Linked DNA regions of Notamacropus eugenii. The protein of the gene in region 2 interacts with the protein of the main gene of each other region in a pairwise test. Links are inferred from orthologs where the notes say so. Each region holds a gene or a part of one and is shown on either strand. Other genes may lie near its edges.

Region 1 (7,594 bases), on a different chromosome or scaffold from region 2:
TTCTTGACTATTTTTTAGAACCTTCCATATTAGGATCTCAATACTCTTCTCTAGAGCTTTGAATGGAGTTCAAAGTCTACTTTTGGAAGATCTTCATCAGTGGAAGGTGTTTCCACACAGATGAAATCACAGATCTAGAGCAAAACAAAAAAAGGGAAACGACAATGTCACTTAGGCAAATTAATGGAATTCAAATACAACCATGATAAAAGAATCTGACAGACATAAAGTTAGACCTCTTATCAAATGTAAAAAATAACAAGGGACATGGGGGAAAATGTTTCCATTGTGATGGTTTGGGGCTTATGATTCTTTTTTATTTCTTTCTGAATGGAAGGCTGGTCGAAGAAAAACTAAAGGCATTCAGAGAGGCAAAGTAATAAGAATAGCCATGACAGTAAAGAGAAAGGGAGGATTGAAATAAGGCTGTGTGAGTTGTGTACATTGTCTCCTCTACTGAAATATAAGCTGAAGAGCTTGTGTGGGTGCAGAAAAAGTAGAAAGTCTTTATATCTCTTCTTTGCAAACACCACAGTGCCTAGCCCTAACACACAGACACACAGGCACTCAATTTTGGGGCAAGTGATAAATATTTGAGGTGAAGAACCAAAAAGGCCAGGGACAAAAGTTACAACCATTTATATTGGGAAACAAGGTCTACTGAGTAACCACTTTACTAATCTGAAGGAAAAGAGGCCTTCCTAAGTTCTCCCACCAGAAATTTCCCCATTAGATATTTGTCTAAGGCACCGCCTTTCTAAGAATCCTGGTTTAAAACCTAAGTGTTCCCTGTATGTGGGACACATCAGGCTGCTGTCAAACATTTAAATTTCCTCCCAGACAGCTAGTCAGTATTAGTTGTGCACACTGCTTCCTTTCTCTGAGCTTCAGTTTCCTCATCTGCAAAATGAAGGAGTTGGGGTCCTTCTCACCTCCAACATTCTACAAGTCTAATTTCTGAGTCCAAGAGGGGACAATTTTAAAGACAGCTAGGCTGAAGACTGCAAAAGTGAGAGGTGACTTGGACCTAAATTGTCTCTATTTCACAATTCTGCCCAGGGCAGAACCTATTAGGGAAGACCTATTTCTTTCAGTGAAAGCTGAAGTAGTTGACTATAAAGACCATATTATCTCACCTAATGATAGAGTGACAAACAAAGTGAGCAAAGGCTAGAAGATGGGAAATGGATTGCCCTGTGTAAAGAACAAGAAAGCAATTCGGAATAACTGTAGATGGTATGTGCAGAGTAGTTAGATACCACAGGTCTAGAAAAGGCAGCCAGGATACAAAGTTAAAAGCCAAAGGACTTTACTGATCCTACAGAGAAAAAAGAGCCTCTGGAGTTTAGGAAAGGGAAGTGACAAAGTGCTTTAGGAATAGTATTTCAGTGGCTGTGTAGAGCAGAGGTATCAAATGAGTGAACCAGATTAAAATGTAATTGGGAAATGTTGGGATTGGGAATTGGAAAAATTGGGAAATAAAAATACAACATAAACAATGTTCACTTATGGTTTTCTAGATCAATCAATTTCTATTGAGTTTGAAGAGGGGAAAGACTGAAGAAAGGAGAAACTGATCAGGAGGCTACCAAGAATCCAGAAGATATAGGGCCTGAACTAGTAACAGAGAGAAGGGAACAGATGTGAAAGGTTGTGGAGATGGAAATAAGAATTGGCACCTAACTGGATAAATGGAGGAAGGCACAGTGAGGGGTCAAGGATGTCTCAGATTTTAAACTGGGATGACCGGAAGAGTGGTGGTGTCATTGAGAGAAATGAGAAAGTTCATTAAAGACTGGAGGATGGGAAGGAGGAAAAATAATGATAATGTTTTGGCTGAGTTTGAGATGTCTATGGATTATCCAGTCCCAAATGTCCAGTAGGGAGTTGCTGATGTGAGACTGAAGTCCAATGAAGGAGTTAGAGCTAGTTGTATACTGGAGACTGGTCAAGCTAGAAAGGATAATTGAACCTCCTGGAGTTGATAAGCTGACCAAGATAAAAGAAAAGAGGATCCAGGACAAAAAAGGGAAGTGGTAGGCATAGTTAATATCAACTAGCTATCCAGGTGGAAATTTAAAGCTATAAAACTAAAAATATAAACATTACGCCTTGGGGGCATAAAAGGCTAGTCAAGTGGTAGGATGAGCAAGATAACCCAACACAAGAGACAGAGGATGGCTCAGACAGGTCTTAGAACCGAAAGAGCCAAAGCTCCAGTCTCACTCAGCTGTCAAAAGCAGTGTACAGATCCTACCTTACCGTAGACATGTATGCGAGGAAGCATTATTATCTCAATTTTACAACAGGTAAAGACACCTGGTGTATGATCCCAAACGATTCAAGTTAACAAAGAACCACTTGAAGCTATGCCTCGGAGTAACGGATGGCTGGGACAGCAGGTGGCCTAGGACGAGGCTCCCCTCTTGGGCCACTACTCCTGCTTCCCCCCTTTCCTACAATCCAGATCCTCAGGAGGGTCTTCAGGAAGGCAGAAGCTGCTTTGGAGACAGGGGGAAAACTACTCCCTCGTTTCTTAAGCATTCTCCGTCTGTTCCAGGCTGGAGATTAAAACACATTAAGGAACTCTTACTAAACGCCGACTCAGGGCTCAGCCCCGGGTTAAACCAGGGAATACAAAGAGAGGGACAATAGACCCGGGCAGGAGTGTGGGGGGCTCACAAAGGGCCGCCCGGACCAGCCTGCCCCGCCCCTGACCCTGGTAACGGACGAGGCAAGCGAGGCCCGCAGGGGCCGTCGTTCCGAGCTGGGCTCACCGCTTCTCGATGGAGTCGATGTTGGAGTGGAGCAGCCACAGCTCCTCGGTGTTATCCTGCCGGGAGGACAGGATCAGGTGATGGCCCGTCAGGCACAGCGTGCCTTCCACGGCCGGGTAGAAGGGCCGGTGCAGCACCACGTTGTCCACCCGCGGAGTCTTGATCAGCTCCGCGAACTCCATCTCGGCCCGGGGCCCGGGGCAGGCGCGGCGGGGCCTGCTCCGTCCTCTCTCCCCTGCTTTCTCAAGCCCCCGGCGGCCGGCCCCGCGGGCCTGGTCCGGAGGGTCCCACCTCCCGCACCAAGCTCAAGCCGGGGTCTCAAGCGGCCACCAGCTTGCTTCCCCCGGCAACCCCGTCTGAGGGGACCCGGGGGAGGGGAGGGTCCTCTTCCGGGGGGCTGGGAAGGAGCCGGGATCTCAAGGCCCGCACATCTCCTGGCCGCTGTCCACTCCGGGCGGAAGTAGCTGACGCCCAGCACCCTCGGTCGACTCCGGGAGGAAGTAGTTGACGCTCAGAGCCCTCCGTCGACTCCGGGCGGAAGTTGTGAAACCAGGTTTGTGAGTCTCGTGACCGGAAACGGTGCCCTCAGAGTTAAATTCCTACCCATCTCATGCCCGATGGGAGGAAGTAAGTGGGAAGTCTTGTCCCTGCCACCCTGACTCCCCTGAGCCTCAGCAGCCCCGGAATAACGGGGCCGCCCACTTGAGGCCGCCCACGGTGCGAAGCTCGGGCGGTGACGCCAACGGTCGTATCGCGCGTGATTGAAACATGCGCCTGCGGATTGGAGGGCTTAAATGTCGTCTGCTCCAACCCTAGAAACTGAAGCCCAGAGAGGACTGATGCGGTACAGTGAAAAAGAGAATAACTTCCTGTAGGGGGCATCAGGAGCTGGCATTAAGTGCGCCGGACCTGGGTTCGGCGAGACCTGAGTTCCAAAGCTAGCAGGGAGACCCTGGGCAAAGAGCTTCACTCTCATTTTCCCAACCGTAAAATGAGAATCCTAAGAGTAACCACCCCGCAGGGTTGGATAAAAAAAAAAAAAAAATGAAAACAGTAGGCGTTTAATACATGCTTCTTCCCACCCCTCCCCCACCCCTGCCCTTCGTATTAAAGAGGTTGCACGTGAGCCTTGTCAATGTCATTCGCGTGCTTTTTTTTTATTCTTGATTTGAAAAAGTGTCATGAATTCCGCACGTCCTCTTCCAGTTGCTCAAATTAAATTGCCTTTCTAGGTTACTCTGGATTCTTTTGTTTGTATTTCACAATTTCTACTTCTGGTTTTTTCATCAAAAATGGTTGAAAATCGAGTCCAATGAAGCCCCATCCCTCCCCACTCTCCTCCAGGAGTATGTTCAGCTTTGCTGGGTAAATTATTCTCTGTTGTGACCCCATCTCTTTTGTCTTTTAGAATGCTGTATCCCACTATTCCTTCTTGTTGCCAGGTCTTGTACAATTCTGCTTACCTTTCCTTGGTACAAGTATTTCTTTCTGGATGCTTGCAACTATTTTTTTTGGCAACAACATTGCCAAAGTTCTGGAACTTTTTTTTTTTTAGGATAACTTTAAGGATTCTTTCTAACTTTATTTTGCCCCCTGCTTCCAAGAGCTCTGAGTGGTTTTCATTTCTTTAAATACAGGATCTAGCTTTTAAAAAGAAATGATTTTCAAAGAGTCAAATAATTCTTAAATTCTTTTTCTTGACCTATTTCCCAAGTCGGTTGTTTTTCAAATCACTTGAAAAATATCAGATACTTTACATTTTCTTCTTTTTCCCCCCAACTTTTTGATTTTGTTCTAATATTTTTTGCTGTTTTGTGGAGTCATTGATTTCTGTTTGGTCCATTGGTCAATCCTAGTTTTCAGGGAGTCCATTTTTTGGAGAAGGTTTACCATTTTCTTTTTTAAGTTATTTATTTTCTTTTCAATTCTTTCCTTCAGACCTTTTTATTTTACTTGTATGTCTTTCTTTCTTTTAGATATTTGCATTATCATTTTGGAAAATTCATTTTTCTCTTTGAGTCTTTATTTGCATACTTTGTGTTGTGACTTTCTCTTTACAAGTTTGATAGGAGAGCATCTCTGGATCTATAGTAATTTTTTATATTCTATCTCTCTCTTCTTTGATCTGTGTCCTTTTTGGTTCATTCATCTGTCCAACTTCTGTACTTGAATTAGAGCTTTGTGCAAGAGTCATCCTCTCTTCCCTTCTGCTTTTGGGTGAGGTTGTAGGCTCTGTTTGTTGTTCCCTTATGTTCCCTGGATCCTGTGCTGTCCTCTACCACCTGGGCTTAGAGCCTCCTCCCCCCCCCCCCCCCCCATCTTTAGATTTCAGAGATCTTTTGGATTCTGGATCTTTTGGACCCAATTTGGAAAAGCAGAATACAATGCTAGGGGTCCATGGAGGTCTGAGTATCAGTATCATACCCATCACTGCCACGCCTGATGACTTTCAAGGTTCCTGCTCTTTTCTGACCCTCCATGGGCTTTCTGACAACTCAAAGCTTTCTTGGGAGGGTTTCCTCTTTTTTTGCTGGCTTTGCACACAGTACTTTCACTGGCAACACTGGAAGGCCACCGGCTTGTTTGCCTCTGCTGGTACTGGTTTTGCTAATGTTCCCCTTTCCTATTACCTATGAGTTTCTGGATGGCTATTTGTATAGTTTTGAGAGAATAAGTCACTTATTGTAGTTTCTCATTAGATTTTATAATCATTTTTTCAGTTTGGTGCAAATTTCAGGTTTTTGCTAGAAAAGATATATGGGAGCTAGGCAGTCTTCCTCAGTTCAGGCAGCCATCTGCTAGTTCCTGGCAGCCTCAAATCTGGTTGATAATCCCTATCACAAACACATATACATTTTTTTGCCTTTTTACTGCTTTTTCCCTTCTGGCCAAATTTAAACAAGTAGAAACATTTTTGCTGGTTTCTCTCTGGAGAAGAACATATCTGTTTGGTCTCACCTAAAATGGGCCTCATGTGGAAGTGACTTTGTTATCATGATTCATGGGAGCATTTTGAACTTAGAATCTGGAGAGCTAGGATGGAGTTCTAGCTCTGATTCTGGGGGACCTTGGGTGAATTAGTTAATCTCTCTGAGTTTCATTTTCCTCAATGGTAAAGTTGAAGGGGGTTGGAAAAGCTCTTTTCTAAGGATACTTTCAGGAGCCTGTTACCTGGAGAGGCAAGATATCCGATCTTCAAAGGATTCAAACTTCAGAGTGATTGCATTACTCTCAGAGGTGTCAGGGAGAGACTCAGCAAGACTGAGGTTGGCTAATGGATTTTATCATTTTGTTGAATAGCTGAACCAGTGATTATAGGTTATAGGGCATCATTGCTTATTAAACATTGTACCCTGTGTTAAGGTCTGCCTGTGTTACTTATCAGAAGAAATCGTATATTCTATAATTATGGGTTTTATACATATATGTGTACTCTTAAGTACCTGAACCCAAAGAACAAAGTGCTTTGCTTTGTTTTGTTTGGAATTAAGGCTCTCCCTTCCTATCTCTTCCTTTTGCCTCCCATGGCTTCCCTCAAATCTCAGCTCATCTCTGACCTTGTACAAGACACTTTTTCTGTGCTGTTCTCCCTCACTGCTAGCGTCTTCACCTCCAATTTACCTTATATACATATCCTGAATGTACATAGTTGTTTATATAATGTCTCCTCCTTTGGAATGTAAACGTCTCCAGGGGAGGAACTATTTTCGTGTCATCATTTATTACAGTGGCTGACTCATGGAAAGTTCTTAATAAATACTTGGTTTATTGTTGACTTAAAATTTTGTGTTCCAGGTAGCCCCAGAGTACTGCTCCAGGATTTCCCTGAAGGACTGTAAAATGTGCCCAAAGGACCTCCTACTGGCTACATAGGTATAATTGCCATAGTTTGCTGCATGCCAAACAATGCTAAACTCTTGCTTGTTCTCCTGTTCTCTAACCCAAGCTAGTGCTTTATCTAGGACAAGGCACATTCATTCTGTAAAAATAAACAGGTAGGTTAAATAATTAATTTTAAAATTACCTTTTAGGTTTTGTTTCTATAGAGCATTTTATCTCTAGCTATGAAATTGATTCTTAGAGGCCTCAAATAATCAGTACCCTAGCTTGCTGTTTCAGAGAAGAAGAAAACAATGGGAGGGATGGAACAACAGATTTTTTTTTTAGTTGTTTTCAAAACAAGGAGTGTTTGGGAGAAGAGACTCTAAGAAGGGAAAATAGAGGAGTAAGTACAATAGGTAGATAGATGCTCTATTGTGAGAAGGAAGCATCATAGAAAGAACATTCAACTTGAAAGGAGTAAGAAAACCTGCCTTAGCAATATGACATTTGGCAAATCACTTGATCTCTCTCTGAGCTCCAGTTGCCTCATCTATAAAGGAGTCACAATATATCTTACTTACCTAATGGTATTGAGGATTAAATCAGATGACATCTGCAATGTGCTTTGTAACAATAAAATGTCACACAAATGTAATAGGCTAGCATCATCATTATAATATTCAGATCAGAGAAACTTTCTGTAGTGCTTTTTAATTTTGTGATTTTTTTTAAACTGAAAGCTTGTCCAAAGTGAGGGATGATGATTATGATGATGACAATAGCATACAAAGGAGAATTGAATTCAAGTCGACAAACATTTATTAAGCAACAAATGTGAGTACTATTCTGTTCTGTTGTCATGGAGCTTACAATCTGGTCTTTGTTAGGCTAGAATTAACAACATTATGCTTTCCATCCAGCTTGCCAAGATGTTGCTGTACTTAATTCAAGAGAATTATATCTACTATAGACTGAGGCCAAGCAAATGAACACTT
Region 2 (7,736 bases):
ATAACCTCAAAGATTTCTTCCAGCTTTAGATCTATGACCAAGAAAGAGCATGGCTGATCCCATTTGCCTTCCCTGCCCCACCAAACTGAAAGTGGTCTCTGATCCTCACATTTCCTTAGAATAATACTTTATCTGAATTTCTTCTGTCAGATATACTCAATCTTGTTTGCTTTTTGCATGTTATTTTTTCCACCCTCAGTAGAATGGAAGTTCCCAGTGAGGCAGGGAAAGGGCCATTTTTCAGTTTTGTAGATATATCAACCCCTTGATAGGAGATCTTCCTGGGATTAATATTCACAGCCAGGTAGGCACTTAAGAAACCTTTGTTGAACTGTACTGAAAAACTCTGTCACCATCACATTACTCCAGACAACAATGGAGCATTTGCCCAGTGGTTTGTGGGATGCCCTGCATTTGCTGCTCTCTAGGGTGGGTGGAAGGAGAGGGGGGAAGGGGGGTAGCAGGTGGGACAGAGCAGACAGGGCACAGCAGTTCCTTCCTTCTGCTGGAGACTTGGTGGCAATCAGCTCAACCTCCTTTATGGAGGAAATTCAAAAGCCTTGCTTCTGCTTCACTCCTTTCTTTTGTTAGGTTTTATGGGAATTATCAATGATGAATTTAATAATTCACAATTTATAATAACAATTACTATCATGATTATTAAAATCTGTGTTCCCAATAGTCCTTTAGATGAAGTTCCTCAGGTAGCCCAGGGAAACTTTAAATAAAATTGGACTCCTTAAATGGCCATCTCTTAGCAAAGCCTCAATCTACTAAAAAAAAAAGTACAGATTACCCCAGTGAGCCACTGAACCATGACCTTGGCTCCATTCTAGAATAGAATGTTTTACCCTGAATCCCAATCACTGAGCACTGACTTTATTCCCCCACCCCCACTTCCATCTTTCCTCTCCCTCTCTCTCTGAATCTTTGTGACCTTCAGCAGGTTACTTCAAATCTCTGGGCCTTAGTTTCTTCATCTGTAAAATAAGGGCATCAGACTAGATAGCATGAAAGGTTTCACTCTAAATCTATGATTCTATCCTTTGTCCCCCTTTTTCCTTCTCTCTCCCTACTCACAATTCCTTTTCTCCCCCATTATACGTTTGCTTATAGACTTGCCCTCTTTAATATACATACATACCTACAAGCACAGAGAAAGAGACAGACAGAAAGAGACAAACAGAGAGGGAGACGGAGAGAAGGAGAGGAGAGAAGGAGAGATGAAGAAATAAAATTATTTGACTAAGGCTCAAATATTAGTGCTTAAAAAAGAAGTGAACTATTGAGCAAGGTACTACTGAACCACAGTTAACTGGAGGAAGATAATCCCACTTAAGAGAGGTTTTATCATTTTTCACATGCGTTACATCTTGGGTAGATATTGTGTTGGATCCCAGTTCTAATAAGGCAAAGGCAGTAGCCACCGGCCAAGCACATGAGCTCAGAAAAAAAGGACAGAAAGGTCAGAGAGGAGAACAATAGTGGTCTCCAAGGAGTAAGAGGAATTGGCAGCCACAGCAGGACTAGTTTGGCTCAGTGAGAGGTTACTCTGTCCGAAACAAACTTCCCCAGATTGTTTCCATTTCTACTTTTGGAGAATGAATGTGCACTTTGACTTTTGGGGTGGATGACTATCAGCATAATTGCTAACAGATCACTTCCTTACAAACTTTTTTTTTTTTTTTTTGCTAACTTGTCTCAGCAAAACAGCTGATGTAGGAGTTTGGAACGTTGCACCTCACAGTGCTGCTTCTCTGCCTGGATTTCCCACAGCCAGGCCCTGGCTCCCCAGTATTGTGTGTGGCTTGCACGCCACAGATTCTTCTCCCCCTCACCCCCCATCTAAATGCCTCCAGTGTAAGTTGGCACACTGAGGGTGAGGCTGCAGGGTGTACTAGCTGTGAGATCTTTATTAAGGAAACAAAAAAAAAATGGGTCCCAGAGCTAAAGTTACATTTAGGAGGGGAAAAAAAGTAAGGAAGGTCCTGGCAGAACAACCTACTAAACAGTTTATTTGCTGTTAAAAGCAAGGGGGGTGGGTAGCACAGAGGGAGAAAAAACCTTTGTACCCCATTTGTGAAGCTCAGAAAGGATAATCCATTTTACCTGAGCTAAAAGTTTAGTAAACACATGGCTAAGTATAAAATATTCTAATCCAGATCCCAGTCTCCCTGTGACAACAGATTGTACAATTGAGGACAAAGATCAAATATTTGCCTTCTTCAAAAAAAGTTTAGGGATCAGGAATATTGCGATGTGGGTGGGCTGGAGGGGACATAAGGAAAAACTGAACTTACAATCTTAGGAAGTATTGAGTGGGCAAACAAGAGGTGCTTTGAAAATACTTTTAAGGAAAAAAACAATTTTTTACAATTTCAGGTAGAAATGAACTGCGATAAAAGCAAAAAGTTAAATGCAGAGGGAGTTGACCAGATTCTAAGAGTGCCCTGCAGTCCCCACCTCACAACTGAAATTAGCATTATAAAAGTCTCCCCTCCCCCACCCTGAAATTAGCATAATGAAAACTTACCCTCTCCCCATTGAAATTAACACTACAGATTAAAGAAAGCTACAATTCCAAATCCAATTACAAATACCTGTCAACTCCTCTCACCTAGGCAGTTCCGTTTTATGGGGGGAAGGGAAGGAAAAAAAAATCAATATCCCAGAAAGGAAGAGGCTGAATTAATTGTTTCAAAAGGCAGCATTAGTTAGCCATGTGGCTTTAACCAGAAGATCCATTAGGCATCCAACTTCTCTCCCAGAAGGAGCTCCCCTCTCCTGAGAAAAAACTAAAGTTGTACTCACTCGGCCAATTTCTTTCCTGTTTCCTGTTCGGAACAATGTGACCAGTGGTCTAACTATCCAGAGAGAAAATGGGCGTTTCAACTCACCTTTCCAGGTGTTAGGGTTTTTGAAGCTGGCCACAGTCTGGCAGAGCACACGCATCCCTAGCACGTAAGTCAATCAAACTCCGTCGGGTCCGTCCTGACACCGCATTTGCCTTCCTTCTGCAGGTGTCTGCGGGGAGGAAGAATGAATGGTATTGGTTGGCCTGGAGCAGGAAATGTGTGACATCACACAGAACCCTGAAAAGATAATCTTCGTGGCTTCGACCTTAGTGAGGGAACCAGTCAGTAAATTCCTCCGTACCTGTCATTTACCTGAATACCTGCAGCCAGGTGCGAATTATTCAGTTAGAGTCATTTGCAGTCAGGTATTTACTTTCTTTTTTAAGTCACAACCCAACCTGCCTGCTCCTGGGTTGTTTTCATCACGACACAGCTCCCTAACTCTGTTAACAGCTCTGTTGACTGCTGAAGAGTTAAACGAGAAATTTAAACACCCAAACGTGATAGGAACTTACTTGATTTAACCCAAGCACACGTGAAGATCGGTTGCGTAGAAACTGAAGTAGTGTAGAGAGCTAGCTGAAGAGGCAGTCAAAAGACCCGAGTTCAAATCCAAAATCTGCTCCCTGCCAAGTGACCTTGGTGCCAGTCACTTAACCTCTGGGACTAAGTTCCTCTTTTGTAAAATATGGGGAAGGGAGGGACTGAATGATCTTCCTGCTCTACTTCTAGGACCCCATGAAATTCAATAGCTTTTTTGAATGGATATCATTTGCTCTTTTCCAGAAATCTATCTCTAATAGAATAATAAAAACTTTAAAAAACCCCAAAAACCTTTGTGTTTACTTGTATAAGTTTTATAACCAACTTATCTGTGCACATATTGTTTTCTTTACTAGAGTATAAGTTCCTCTGGGGCAGGGGTTGTTTGATTTTTTATTTAAATATCATACATACTGTGCCCAGCACATTGTAGACATGAAAGTGTTGTTAAATGAATTAATTTTGTTGGACCTCATTCATACTTCACTCAGAATGTTAGGGCTGAAAAGAACTTTAAGAAATCCTGTAGTCCTCCCTCCTTGTTTTCAGGGAAGGAAACTGAGGCTCTGAGGATTAGAGTTGACAGCTGGCAGAACTTGAATTCAAACCCACGTCTTCTGACTCAAAATCCAATTTTTTGTTTTGTTTTGGAGGGAGGGTGACCCTGCACCACACTCTTAACCAGGAGGATGGGCTGCTATTTTCAAATGAGATGTTCCAACTTTGAAAATGCATTTTTTGTGTTCCAATGACAGACTTAGACGTTTGTAACAGTAGTCATGCCCATTACAGCTTGCTCAGCTGGCACGGGGCAGTTACAATTCTTTGTAGGCCTGCAATTACAAGTAATTTAAATGATTCAGATTAGAATGCTATTAATAAGGCTACTTTGCCTGCTAGTTAGAGACAGGAAGGAGGAGTCAGAAGTTATTTCTATTCCTAGCTTATTGTATGACCCTGGGCTGTATGCCATTCAGCCTTTTTTCCACCAGGAAAAATAAGGGTAATGCCACTTACCTCATGACAAAATGGGCTATTACGAGAATATTAAAGAGCAAATGTGAGGGAGTGTGGTAAACAAGGATTTATTCATTCATTCATAATTGAATTTTAATATTTTATATTTTTGTGGCCTCTTTCCAGGATCCTTGAACAATTTAGACTATGCACTGGAATGTACCACCTGGGGAAACTGTGGAATCTCCTGCCCTGGAGGCCTTGAAAAATAGGGCAGCCTATTTTTCTTTCAAGAATGGCCTAGATAATTTTAGGGGGTTCCTTGCAACACAGTGGTTCTAAAAATTGCTTTTGCCCTCTTGGGGATAAAGGTGCTAGAATTCTCAAGTATTTCTTCTTTCTCCCTTCCCTCGTACTTCCCCTTATGCAAATGCTCATTTTAAAAGGCGTCATTTTTTTTTGGACTGGATGTATGATTTCATCAGTATTGGGAACTTCCCAGCAGAAAAATTGCCTTTTCCCATGCATATGGGCACCTTCTCTGTAACTATCCAACAGCTGCCTAGAGCAACGAGAGAGCCCTCCCTGCCACTGAGACCATCTCTTTACCCACTACAGCTGCCTTTCAAAAGGTGAGACTTTGGGTGTCGATATGATAACCAATTCAATAGAACAAATAGAGTAAGTACCTGACATAATGGAAAAGGCATCCATCGAACTTGGCATCTAAAAGCCTGTTTTTGAGACTCTGGTTCTAACATTTATTAGTTTTGTGACTTACTAGGGAGTCACTTAAACTGAGTCTCTATTTCTTTACCTGTAAAACTGGAATGCAGATACATATACCACCTGCCTCACAGAGTTGTGAAGAAAGCTTTCTGGAAAATGTAAAGTGCTATTCAAATGTGAGTTGCTATTAGTAGACATTACCTAATCTTATTTTTATGCCAATTCTGAGTTAAATGGGGCAGGTGTTTCCTTCTCATCTCAGACCCTCATAGTGCCCTTAGACAGTAGGAAGGCATTATGACTGTGCTAGAGTGCCAAAGTACCCTGGATCTGTAAGCTTGAATAAGTCTCTGCCTCTCTGAACCTTAATTTATTATTACTATATTATTATTAACAGTAATAATAAATAATAATAACTACCATTTATATAACATTGAAGGTGCCTCACTTCATCCTTGCAACAACTCTAGGAGATAAGTGCTATTATCTCCATGTAACAGATGAAGAAATGGAGGTAGAGGTGAAATGACTTGCCCAGGGTCACTCAGCTAGAAAATGTCTGAAGTAGGATTTGAACTTAGCTCTTCCTGGCTCCAGAGCCAACACTTTATACACCGTACTACCAGCTGCCCCATCTCTAATGTGAGGAAAATGGAAGACAGCTAGGCAAGTACAGTGGATAGAGCACCAGACCTGGAGTGAGGAAGACTCATCTTCCTGAGTTCAAATCCAGCCCCATATACTTACTAGCTGTGTGACCCTGGGCAAGTCACTTAATCCTGGTTGCCTCAGTTTCCTCATCTGTAAAATGATCTGGAAAAGGAAATGGCAAACCACTGCAGCATCTTTGCCAAGAAAAACCCCAAATGGGGTCATGAAGAGTTAGACACGATTGATCACTGACAGAATAACAAGGAAGGACTGGAAACAGTACTACTGGATTTTGAGTAAGAAAACCTAGGTTTGAATTCTTGCTCTGTCACTCATTACCTTTGTGACCTTGAGCAGGTCACTTGATCACTAAGAGCTCTAGGTTTCCCTATAATTAAGCCCTTTCTTTAAAACTTGAAGACAAACTAGGCACTAGGGATAAAAAAAATTAAGTTTCTGCCTTACATTCTATTGGATAAAACATGTATAAATAGGAATAGATATATGTACATAGATATTTCTACGTATTAAGTATACAAGATAATTTCCAGAGGTGTAGGGAGCATTTAGCAGCTGGGGGAATGCAAAAAGATGGATCTGTAAAATGAACAGAAAACTTCTTAAGGTCTTTTCTTGCTTCAAAAGTCTTTGATCTCATAGGCAAGGCAGTCTTTGATCCCATAGGCAAGGCACGGTGCTTCATATCAGAGAGAGAGAGATATCTATGAGGACTATTAAAAGCCCTTCTTGACTGTACCTTAAACTTTGCCACCTTAAAACTGAAATCCAATCTGGCTTGGGATCATCCAGATCATGCTGGAGCATACTGAATGACTATTGGGGGAGGGATAGTTCTGGTCCAGGACACTGGGGCAAATCTAAACTTTAAATGCCTGCGGGATATTTAACTTTCACTTACTTGTTTGTTTGTTTGTTTGTTGATTAGTACCCATGATTTTATCAGTAAGGAACTTTCCCTGGGGTGGACAAAATTCCAAGCCCAGACTGACCTAGCCTGCAAACTCTTTCAGGAAAGTTAGACGCTTAAGAAGATTCCCAAATGAAGATTGGGCCATTTTGCCGCCAACCAAAATTTATTTCCCCTTTCTTCATTTCTGCCTTTTGGAAACTGCTATGGATATTGGGGTGGGGGGTGGGGGAGAGAAGAGACTTGCAAAAAAGAAAACGAAAACAGAAATCCCTCTAAAAGAAAGGAGAAAGTACTAGGTTGTAAATGTGGCTCAAAAGTTGAGTACCTTCTTTTGCAATAATAAGGCTGAATACAAATGCTCATTACAAAAACAAAGGCACTTCTTTTGCTACTGGAAGGGTGTTCCCTTTGAGAGGGGAGAAGAACTTGTCTGCCAGCTTGTGTTAAACACTAGTATCTCTGACTCAGACTCTGCCCTCATAGAACTGACAATATAATGAGTGAATCAGACTGTACCCATGTAGGAAGTTGATCAAGGGAGTCTACTTGATATGGACACCTGAGAAAAGACCTATCATACATACATTTCCCCATGAAGAGTGTGGACATGCTCATTAGAACTTCAGTGAGAGCATATCAGAAACTGACAAATGCTACAAATCAGGACTTGATTTTATTGTTTTGTTGGTTGTTTAGAATAATAAAGGGATGGAGAAAATGTGAATAAATCAAATTAAACTTAAAAGCATGTCATGTATACATTTTTTTTTCTCAGAGTACTGTTTACTAAACCTTTAGCAGTACATTACTGGAGGCAGCCCCTTTGTACTGGGTCTGTGACAACAAATTAGAGTCAAAGAGAGAGAACTGTAGTAGAACTAGGAGGCAATCTAGCTGTGGATGTTGGGGGTGGAGGGAAATCAGTGTCTCTAGTTATCTCCATCTTTCAACACACACAGACTGAAGCTGTTAACAGCAAACATGGAGAATCAGTGGTAGGGGCTCATTGGCTGACACGCAAAAAATGATGACACAATTATACAAGACAGGTGCAGTAGAGAATTGTTTTA
Region 3 (7,227 bases), on a different chromosome or scaffold from region 2:
GGCTTGATGGGAGAAGCTGGGGTGGTGTGACTTGGGGGGAAGAGGGCCAGGATTCAGTCAGAGTCACTGCTGGAAGAGGAGGAGGAGGAAGAAGAATGCTGCAGGGGAATGGGAAAGTGGAGAGGACACATTATCAGACTTTGAACTCTGACCCCATGAAGTCCCACCCCATTCCCCATCTCTCTAATATGTACCCTCCCATACAAGGTGCACTTAAGACCAATAACCCACACATGGAATGTCACCGACAGACTGAAAATAAGTTTCTCCCCCTGGAATTAATGCCACAACAGTAGTTTAAACCAACCCACGTTGTTGCAGGGACTTTTCAATAATTTTGCTTGAAACAAGGTGTCTCAGTCAAAGGGTTTCATGAATGGGAAAACCTCTTTGAGGAAGGCATAGGAATTGGCAAATAAATGTTAATAACTGAAGCAATGAATAGCCCCCAGCACCTTCAGTACAGACAATCCACATAAATGAAAATGACCCCTACTCTTAAGTAACTTAGACCTAGGCAAAAGTACTGAGGGATAAAAATAAGACTCATTAAGTGCTTTGCAAGCTTTATGGTACTATAAAATTGTGAATTACTATCTAATCTGGTTTGCCTGCATGCACAGCAACTTTATCAGCAATGGTAAACATTTATTTTCCAACTGCTGCTCCTGAGTTGTCCTCCAATAGTTTCTACCTCTCCCTTTTTTGCAGCATCCCAGCTATCACTGGAATGAAGTGAATTTAGACATGCCCCATAACCATCACCTTCTACCCTTTCTCTTTCCTTGTCCCAGGTTGACTTAGGCTCTTTGTATAGTCATATGACCTGCTCAGTTCCATTCTAAGGAACACTGTACTTGAATGATCAGTGCCCCCAAGGTTAGAGATCAGAAATCCTGGATTCCCAGACTACTCTGGCCTGGCTCCCTGATGTCAGAATAGTCATTCAATTCTTTGAAGTCTCAATTTCCAAGGCCCATTATCGTTATCATGATGTGTCAATAAGGTTTTAAGGTACATAAAGTACTTCCCATTCTTTATCTCATTTGAGTTTCACAACACCATGGGGGAAGTGGAGTAGCTATTTTTAACCCCATTTTACAGATGAGGAAACAAAGGCTCAGAGAAGTTAAAGAACTTGCCCACAGCCACACAGCCAGTAAGGGACCAAGGCCAAGATTCAAATTCTGGTTTCTCTAAGCTCCAATTCTAGTTAGCTTTCTTTAGATTACACAAGAGGAGATAGGAGCCTAGCTCCAGGTGTTCAGTTACAGAGTCAAAGGACAAAATTAATTAACCCACTGGCTTGGTGGTCATAACCCCATCCAAGATTCCCAAGTCCTTTCATATGTATGTATATATCTATAGCTATGCCTCAGCATTCTGGGAGGGTATGGATCACTAATCCTGTTCAACTGGAAGCAATTAAACCCCAGAAATTCTGAGATATCTGCCAAAGATCCATAAACTTAAGTTTAGAGCTGAAAAGAAGGGATTTCAGTGAATATCTATACCAACCACTTTATTTTCCTCAAGAAATGGAGGTTTAAAGGGATGAAGGGACTGAGAGTTAGGGAAGTATTATGAGGCAGAATTTAACCCAGTTTCTATTTCTGGCTTGTAAGGCCAGCATGCTCTGTGTGTGTGTGTAGCTAGTCTACACCCACAGCATGGATGGATAGCAACAGAGAAGGCAAATCCAGACTGGCGTGGCCATCTAATTGTGTCCCTGAGACTCTGATGAAATGCTCCCCATCCCAACCCCAGCAGGGCTCCCAGAGAAACTGACCTTGCCATGTTTGTGATGTTTATGCGTTTTCTTATGAGCCTTCTTCATCTTCTTCCTCATCTTCTTATCCACCACTATACCTGGCCCCACTATCCCTGGGACCAAGGGATTCACAGAAGGCGCACAAGGGCCAGGAGGTGGGTAGGGACCTGGAGGTGGGTAGGGACCTGGGGGTGGGCAGCTTGGGTATCCTGGCTGATGCCCAGGGCCAAAAGCAGTGCCAGGAGGATAGGCTGGATTACCTGGGAAACACCCAGGTGGGGCAGGACAGGTACCTGGAGGGTATGCAGGATTGATTGATGGTGGGTTGATGGGGTTGGCAACCCCAGGGCACCCGGAAGTTGAAGGAGGTATAGGACCCCCAGGAGGGTACATCCCTGGCTGCCCTGGATGGGGAGAGAAGCACAGAATAAGATAGTGGCAGCAAGGTCTAGCTCCTCTTACAAGTGGAGGAGAAGGGACTGGTACCTCCTGTGCCCCCTCTTCCTTCAGGCAGTGGGGAGGTTAGGAAAAAGGGGGGCATATAGAGAGAAAAGGACAGCCAGCTCCGGTGGGAAGGAAGAGAAAATGAAATGAGCTCCAAAGAGGGAAGGCTTGGGTGTTGGGGGCAAAAGGAAAAAGAGAGGTCAAGTTTTTGCCTTAACTGGCAACTATGGGAGGGAAAAAATGGGCACAGGAAGACCACCCCTCCCCACCCCCGTGAGGCTCCTCTAAAAGAAGGATAGAAAGAGCGGGGGGTGTGTAAAGGGAGCACTCACCCGCACTGGGGTTCCACATGCTGCACTGTTCTGTTACCTGGAGGGGAACAAGGAACAAGGAAGAAAAAAGGCTGGCAGTCCGGAGGGGGCAGGGCGGGTGGCACAAGCCTCCTCCACTTCAGCGGTCCGGGGCGGATCCCCTGCCCCCCCAACTCCAGGGGCACCCTTCTCCGCTCACTTAGGGGCAGACGGGCTCCCTTCTCCCCTCCCCGGAGCTAGGCGGGGGGTTCCCCTTTCCTTGGGCGGGGAGAGGAGGGGCCCCAGGAGGGAGGGGGGTCTGCCTCCCGGCCAAGAGCCTCGGCGGGGAGGGGAAGGAGGGAGAAGGATCTCCAAGCGCCGAGAGAGACTCTCCCAGCCCGCCCTGCCCCGCTGGGAGGGAGGCCCGGCGGACGTGCCCCCCGCCCGGGGAAAGGAAGGGAAGGAGGAACCCCGAAGACCCCGTCACCTCGTCGCCTCCACCCGAGCCGGAGTTCTCCCTTCTCCTCCCCGCACCTCCCGGCGCCTGCTTCCTGGTCCCCACCTCCCCGGTGGCTCCGCCCCCTCCGCTGTCTGATTGGCCGCGGGGCCGAGCCCTCCCCTCGTCATTGCACAGACTGCCCGTCGATCTCCGGGGGGCGTGCCGGACCCGGGGAAACTGTCTCTGGACCGGGCCGTGTCCGCCCGAGCTCCGGGGCCTCGGGTGGGGTCTCTCTTCCTGGGGGCGGGGCCAGGGCCCCACCCGGCCCTAGTCCTGCCCATGCGCGCCGCCCTGCCCCCGAGCCCGGGCAGCGGGTGCCAAGGGCGTGGGGCGGGGGGCGCTGGTCTGGGATGCGAGACCTTGAGAGCCGAGGCCCCGCCTGGGCCGGGAACCTCGGGACTCCCGCCCGATGAAGGCACTAGTTGAGTGCTTGTTGTATGCCAGGCCTTGTGTCAAGCGCTTGGGGCGGGGCTGGTATACTTTGCCCCAGTCCGAGGGGGTTGGCAGAGTGCAAAGAGCCGCGCACATGCACGAAGTCAGCGGGCCCAACCGGGGACCCCGAGCCCCCGGCAAGGAGGCCGGGGAAGCCGGGCCGAGGTCCGGGAGGAAGAAGGCATTCCAGGCCTGGCCTGCCTGGCCCACAGGAGAGAAGTGACCGCGCTGGAGGGGAAAAGGGAGCTGGCACGCGGACCCCGCAGCACCCAAGGACCCCCTGGACCCCCTGCGAGCCGAAGACCCTCTTTTGGCCCTTCCCCCAGGAATGACAGTTTTTCCTTGTTTAAAACCATGGACTCATCCAACACCAAATAAAATGGACCTTCCCGATAACACGTCCCGAGACATCCCCTCCGAAAAGGAGAGGGTGGCGTGCCCATGGTCCTGGGCAGGTGTCACCGCAGAAATCCTGCCTGGCACTGGGGGTCTCCAGTATGCACCGCTTGCCTTTTCTTGTAAATATATGGTAAGTTCTCCTTGTAGCAACGCAAAAGGTAAAACGACTCCTCACCAAACTCCTTCCCTTAGAGGCGTGTTCCCCGGTAAGCTCCCGGGGAGCAGCGGGGTTCCTACTGACCTTTCCCAGGCCTGTCACTGGGCGCACATGGATGCTGGGTTTAGCAGCCTTCTGTGTGTGGGAAATAAACACTTGTAGAGTGCACGCCGGATGGTTTTGTTTACCCTCCCTTTTGTGGAGACCCTAGATATGAACCGAACCTATGTTGTACGTAAGTGGTCCCTGGAGCCCCCCAGTGTAATGAGCTGAAGGGTATGAGAAAGGAGGTCCCAGCCTTTCTCATTAGAAGTGGGACTCCTCCACTGGAGCCTGTACATAGAGCAGGTGAGCCCCACCTTCCACAAAGGGCCAGGGTCAAGTGTCCTAGTCTTTTGGGCCCAGCAGCGGTTCTGTCTTGCTCAAATAAAGTCATAGATTAGAACTGGAAGAGACCTTCGAAGCCATCTAAGGTGGCCTCTAATGTAATAATATACAACCCTCTATGGGATGATGATGTTTTAAGGTTTATAAAGCCCTTATTTGAGACTCACAATAACTCTAGGAGATTGAGATGCTATTTCTACCCCCATTTTACAGATGAGAAAAGTTCTTCTCCAGGGTCACACAGCCAGGATCTATGGTAAAATTTGAACTCGAATCTTCTTAGCTACAGATACAGTATAAGGTATTCTTATCCACTGTGTTACCTAGCTGCCTTCTCTGAATTTTACAGATAAGGAGACTAGAGATCAGGAGAGAGGGATGAGTACTGGATATGTAAATTTGGGCATCATTCTCAGAAAAGCGTAGGTCAAGCCCATGGGAGACAATGAAATTAAAAAGAAAAAGAAGGTAGAGAAGGAGGCCCAGGAGAGAGCCTTTGGGTATTCCCATACATAGAGAGTGGGGCATAAAGGGTGATTCTACAAAGGATACTGAGAAGGAGCAGCCAAAGAGGTAAGAGAAAAATAAGTTACCTTTGTCAAAAAAAAAAAAAGAATCCAAGTAGAAAAATGAATCCAGGAGGAGTAAATAATGTCATTTGGTGACAGAGAAGTCAAGAAGGATGAGAAGAGACAAAAACCTCAGATAAGGAGATCACTGGTGACTTTGGAGAGCATAATTTTAATTGAGTAGTATGTTTCAAAGCCAGATTACAGAGTGTTTCTAAGTAATTGGGAGATGAGAAAGTTGAGACAGAAAGTGTAGACAGCTTGTTTCTAGGAGTTTGGCTGTGAATAGGAGGAATGATAGAGGATGTTAGCTTGAGGATGTGGTTTTTTAAATTTAATTTAAATTTTTTTAAGGATTAGTGTGATCTGGGCTTACATATAAGCAGCAGGGAAGGAAACCAATAGTAAAGACAAATAGAACCTTTGGGAGATGGGAGAGATAATGGAAGGGGAAATCTACTGGCAGAAATGAGTAGGGATTGACTTAAGGCCTCTATTTCCTCTGAGACAGGAGGGAAGGGACAATAGGGTATGAAGTCCAGGTGATTCACAATTGCAATCAAAGGAAAGGGATTTTTATGACTCATGGCCTAGTTTTTTCAGTAGAAGTGTGAAGTGAGGTATGTAGTTAAAGAGTGAGAAGGCAGTGGAGTAGGTGGCTTGAAAAAAGATGAAGGCTGAAAGAAATACTGTGGGGAGTTTGATGAAGAGTCAATTAGGAAAGAGAAAACAGATTGGTGTGCCCTGGGGAGGCCCACTCGAGATTAGATGGCCTAAATTTGTAGTAGATCCATTCAATAGGATGATAGGACTTCCACTCAGTTCAGCAGCTCAGTTCAGAAGGGAGGAAAGTAAGACGAAAGTAGAAATAATGGCCTGGGAAATACAGGGTGGGAATAAGGGAGGTTGGAAAGCAGAAGGGTTGGAGTATCTGAAATTTGTCTTGAAGATGGAGACTGGGTTCAGGAAAGATAAGGCACAAGGAGAGATGGCCAGATAAGAAGTTATAATGACATAGAAGAATTTCAGAGTTATGCTTAGAGAAGGTATAATTCAACTTAATCTAATTCTTTTAAAAACTTTATTTTCAAATTTTTAATGTAAACTTTCCCCCCCGAAACATTTTTATACACATTACACCACATAGCACTTTCATAAACGCACGCACACACACACACACACACACACACACACACACACACACAGATTCTGTATGAAGCTGAATCACCATTTCATATGGTTTGTTTTTTAAACAATATATATGGTAATAAATTCCATGTTATTTTCAAAATTGTCTCACTTGCGTATGCTTTCTTCTGAACTATCTTCTTTGCATTAAAAAATGATATGATGGCCTCATTTTGGGGGGACATTACTATTGCTAACTCCTGTTTTCCCTATGCCCCCTAATTAACCAAGAGAAAAAAGGAGAAGCCTTGTAACAAGTAAGCATAGTCAAGCAAAAGAATTTTGTTCAGTGTCCATGTCCAAAAACGCATACCTTGTGTCCATCATCTCTCAAGTAAATTCAGTTATGCAAGCAATTATTATGTCACTAATCAATGCCAATTAATTATTAACTATAGTTAGAATTAATAATAGTGTTAATCATTAAATATTAATTAATTATTGAGTACTTACTATGAGTCATGGAACATTTATGACTGATGATTAAATCAAGTATGAGTATTCTGGTGTGTGATGGAGGTGAAGAGTATGGGAGGATTAAATCAGGGGATTTAAGGGAATATCTGCCTATCCTTTACCCCCCAAAATATCAATAGCAGCACTTTTTGTGGTAGCAAAAAACTGGAAACAAAGTAGATTGGGAAATAACTATACAAATTGTTATACATGAATGTAACAGAATTCTACCATGCTATAAAAAACATCGAATGTAATAAATACCAAAAAACATGGGTAGACCTATGAACCGATGCAAAGTGAAATAAGAAAGACCATGAAAATAATATGTGATGACTACAACAATGGAAATTGAAAGAATAACAGTCACAAAACAAGGGAAAGTGAATATTGGAAAACTACAAAGAACAGGCTTTCCATTTTGAGGGAGGACCCAAACCAGCCACTCTCCATTCTCTGGACTTGACCACCAAGACTCAACGGCCTCGCCTCTGTTGCATTCCTTCTCCCATTGATGTGTTCTTCCCAGAACCTCCCTTTTGGGGAAGAGCCTAGCCAAGTTATTCTTCATTCTTAGAACTTCCTCACCATATTCCTCTACCTTTTCATTTCTTCTTTTAGGTGTTAGTATGGAA

Evidence for each region. The genes of interacting proteins can lie anywhere in the genome.
Region 1: the proteins of LNX1 (region 2) and MTMR9 interact in binary tests that used the Homo sapiens proteins (3 or more experiments, as listed by UniProt). The link is inferred for Notamacropus eugenii from reciprocal best matches to the Homo sapiens genes LNX1 and MTMR9.
Region 3: the proteins of LNX1 (region 2) and PRR13 interact in binary tests that used the Homo sapiens proteins (3 or more experiments, as listed by UniProt). The two-hybrid records come from large-scale screens. The link is inferred for Notamacropus eugenii from reciprocal best matches to the Homo sapiens genes LNX1 and PRR13.

What each region holds. Positions count from the first base shown.
Region 1 is NC_092872.1:610,944,558-610,952,151, reverse strand, and holds the start of MTMR9 (myotubularin-related protein 9), read right to left. Parts: upstream 3,105-7,594; 5' UTR 2,960-3,104; coding exon 2,778-2,959; intron 2,627-2,777; exon of another isoform or gene 2,263-2,626; intron 1-2,262. UniProt on the Homo sapiens protein: Acts as an adapter for myotubularin-related phosphatases. Increases lipid phosphatase MTMR6 catalytic activity, specifically towards phosphatidylinositol 3,5-bisphosphate and MTMR6 binding affinity for phosphorylated phosphatidylinositols.
Region 2 is NC_092877.1:105,074,835-105,082,570, forward strand, and holds the start of LNX1 (E3 ubiquitin-protein ligase LNX), read right to left. Parts: upstream 3,028-7,736; 5' UTR 2,898-3,027; intron 2,896-2,897; exon of another isoform or gene 2,812-2,895; intron 1-2,811.
Region 3 is NC_092874.1:226,458,898-226,466,124, reverse strand, and holds the start of PRR13 (proline-rich protein 13), read right to left. Parts: upstream 3,105-7,227; 5' UTR 2,993-3,104; intron 2,585-2,992; 5' UTR 2,567-2,584; coding exon 2,548-2,566; intron 2,176-2,547; coding exon 1,790-2,175; intron 99-1,789; coding exon 54-98; 3' UTR 1-53. UniProt on the Homo sapiens protein: Negatively regulates TSP1 expression at the level of transcription. This down-regulation was shown to reduce taxane-induced apoptosis.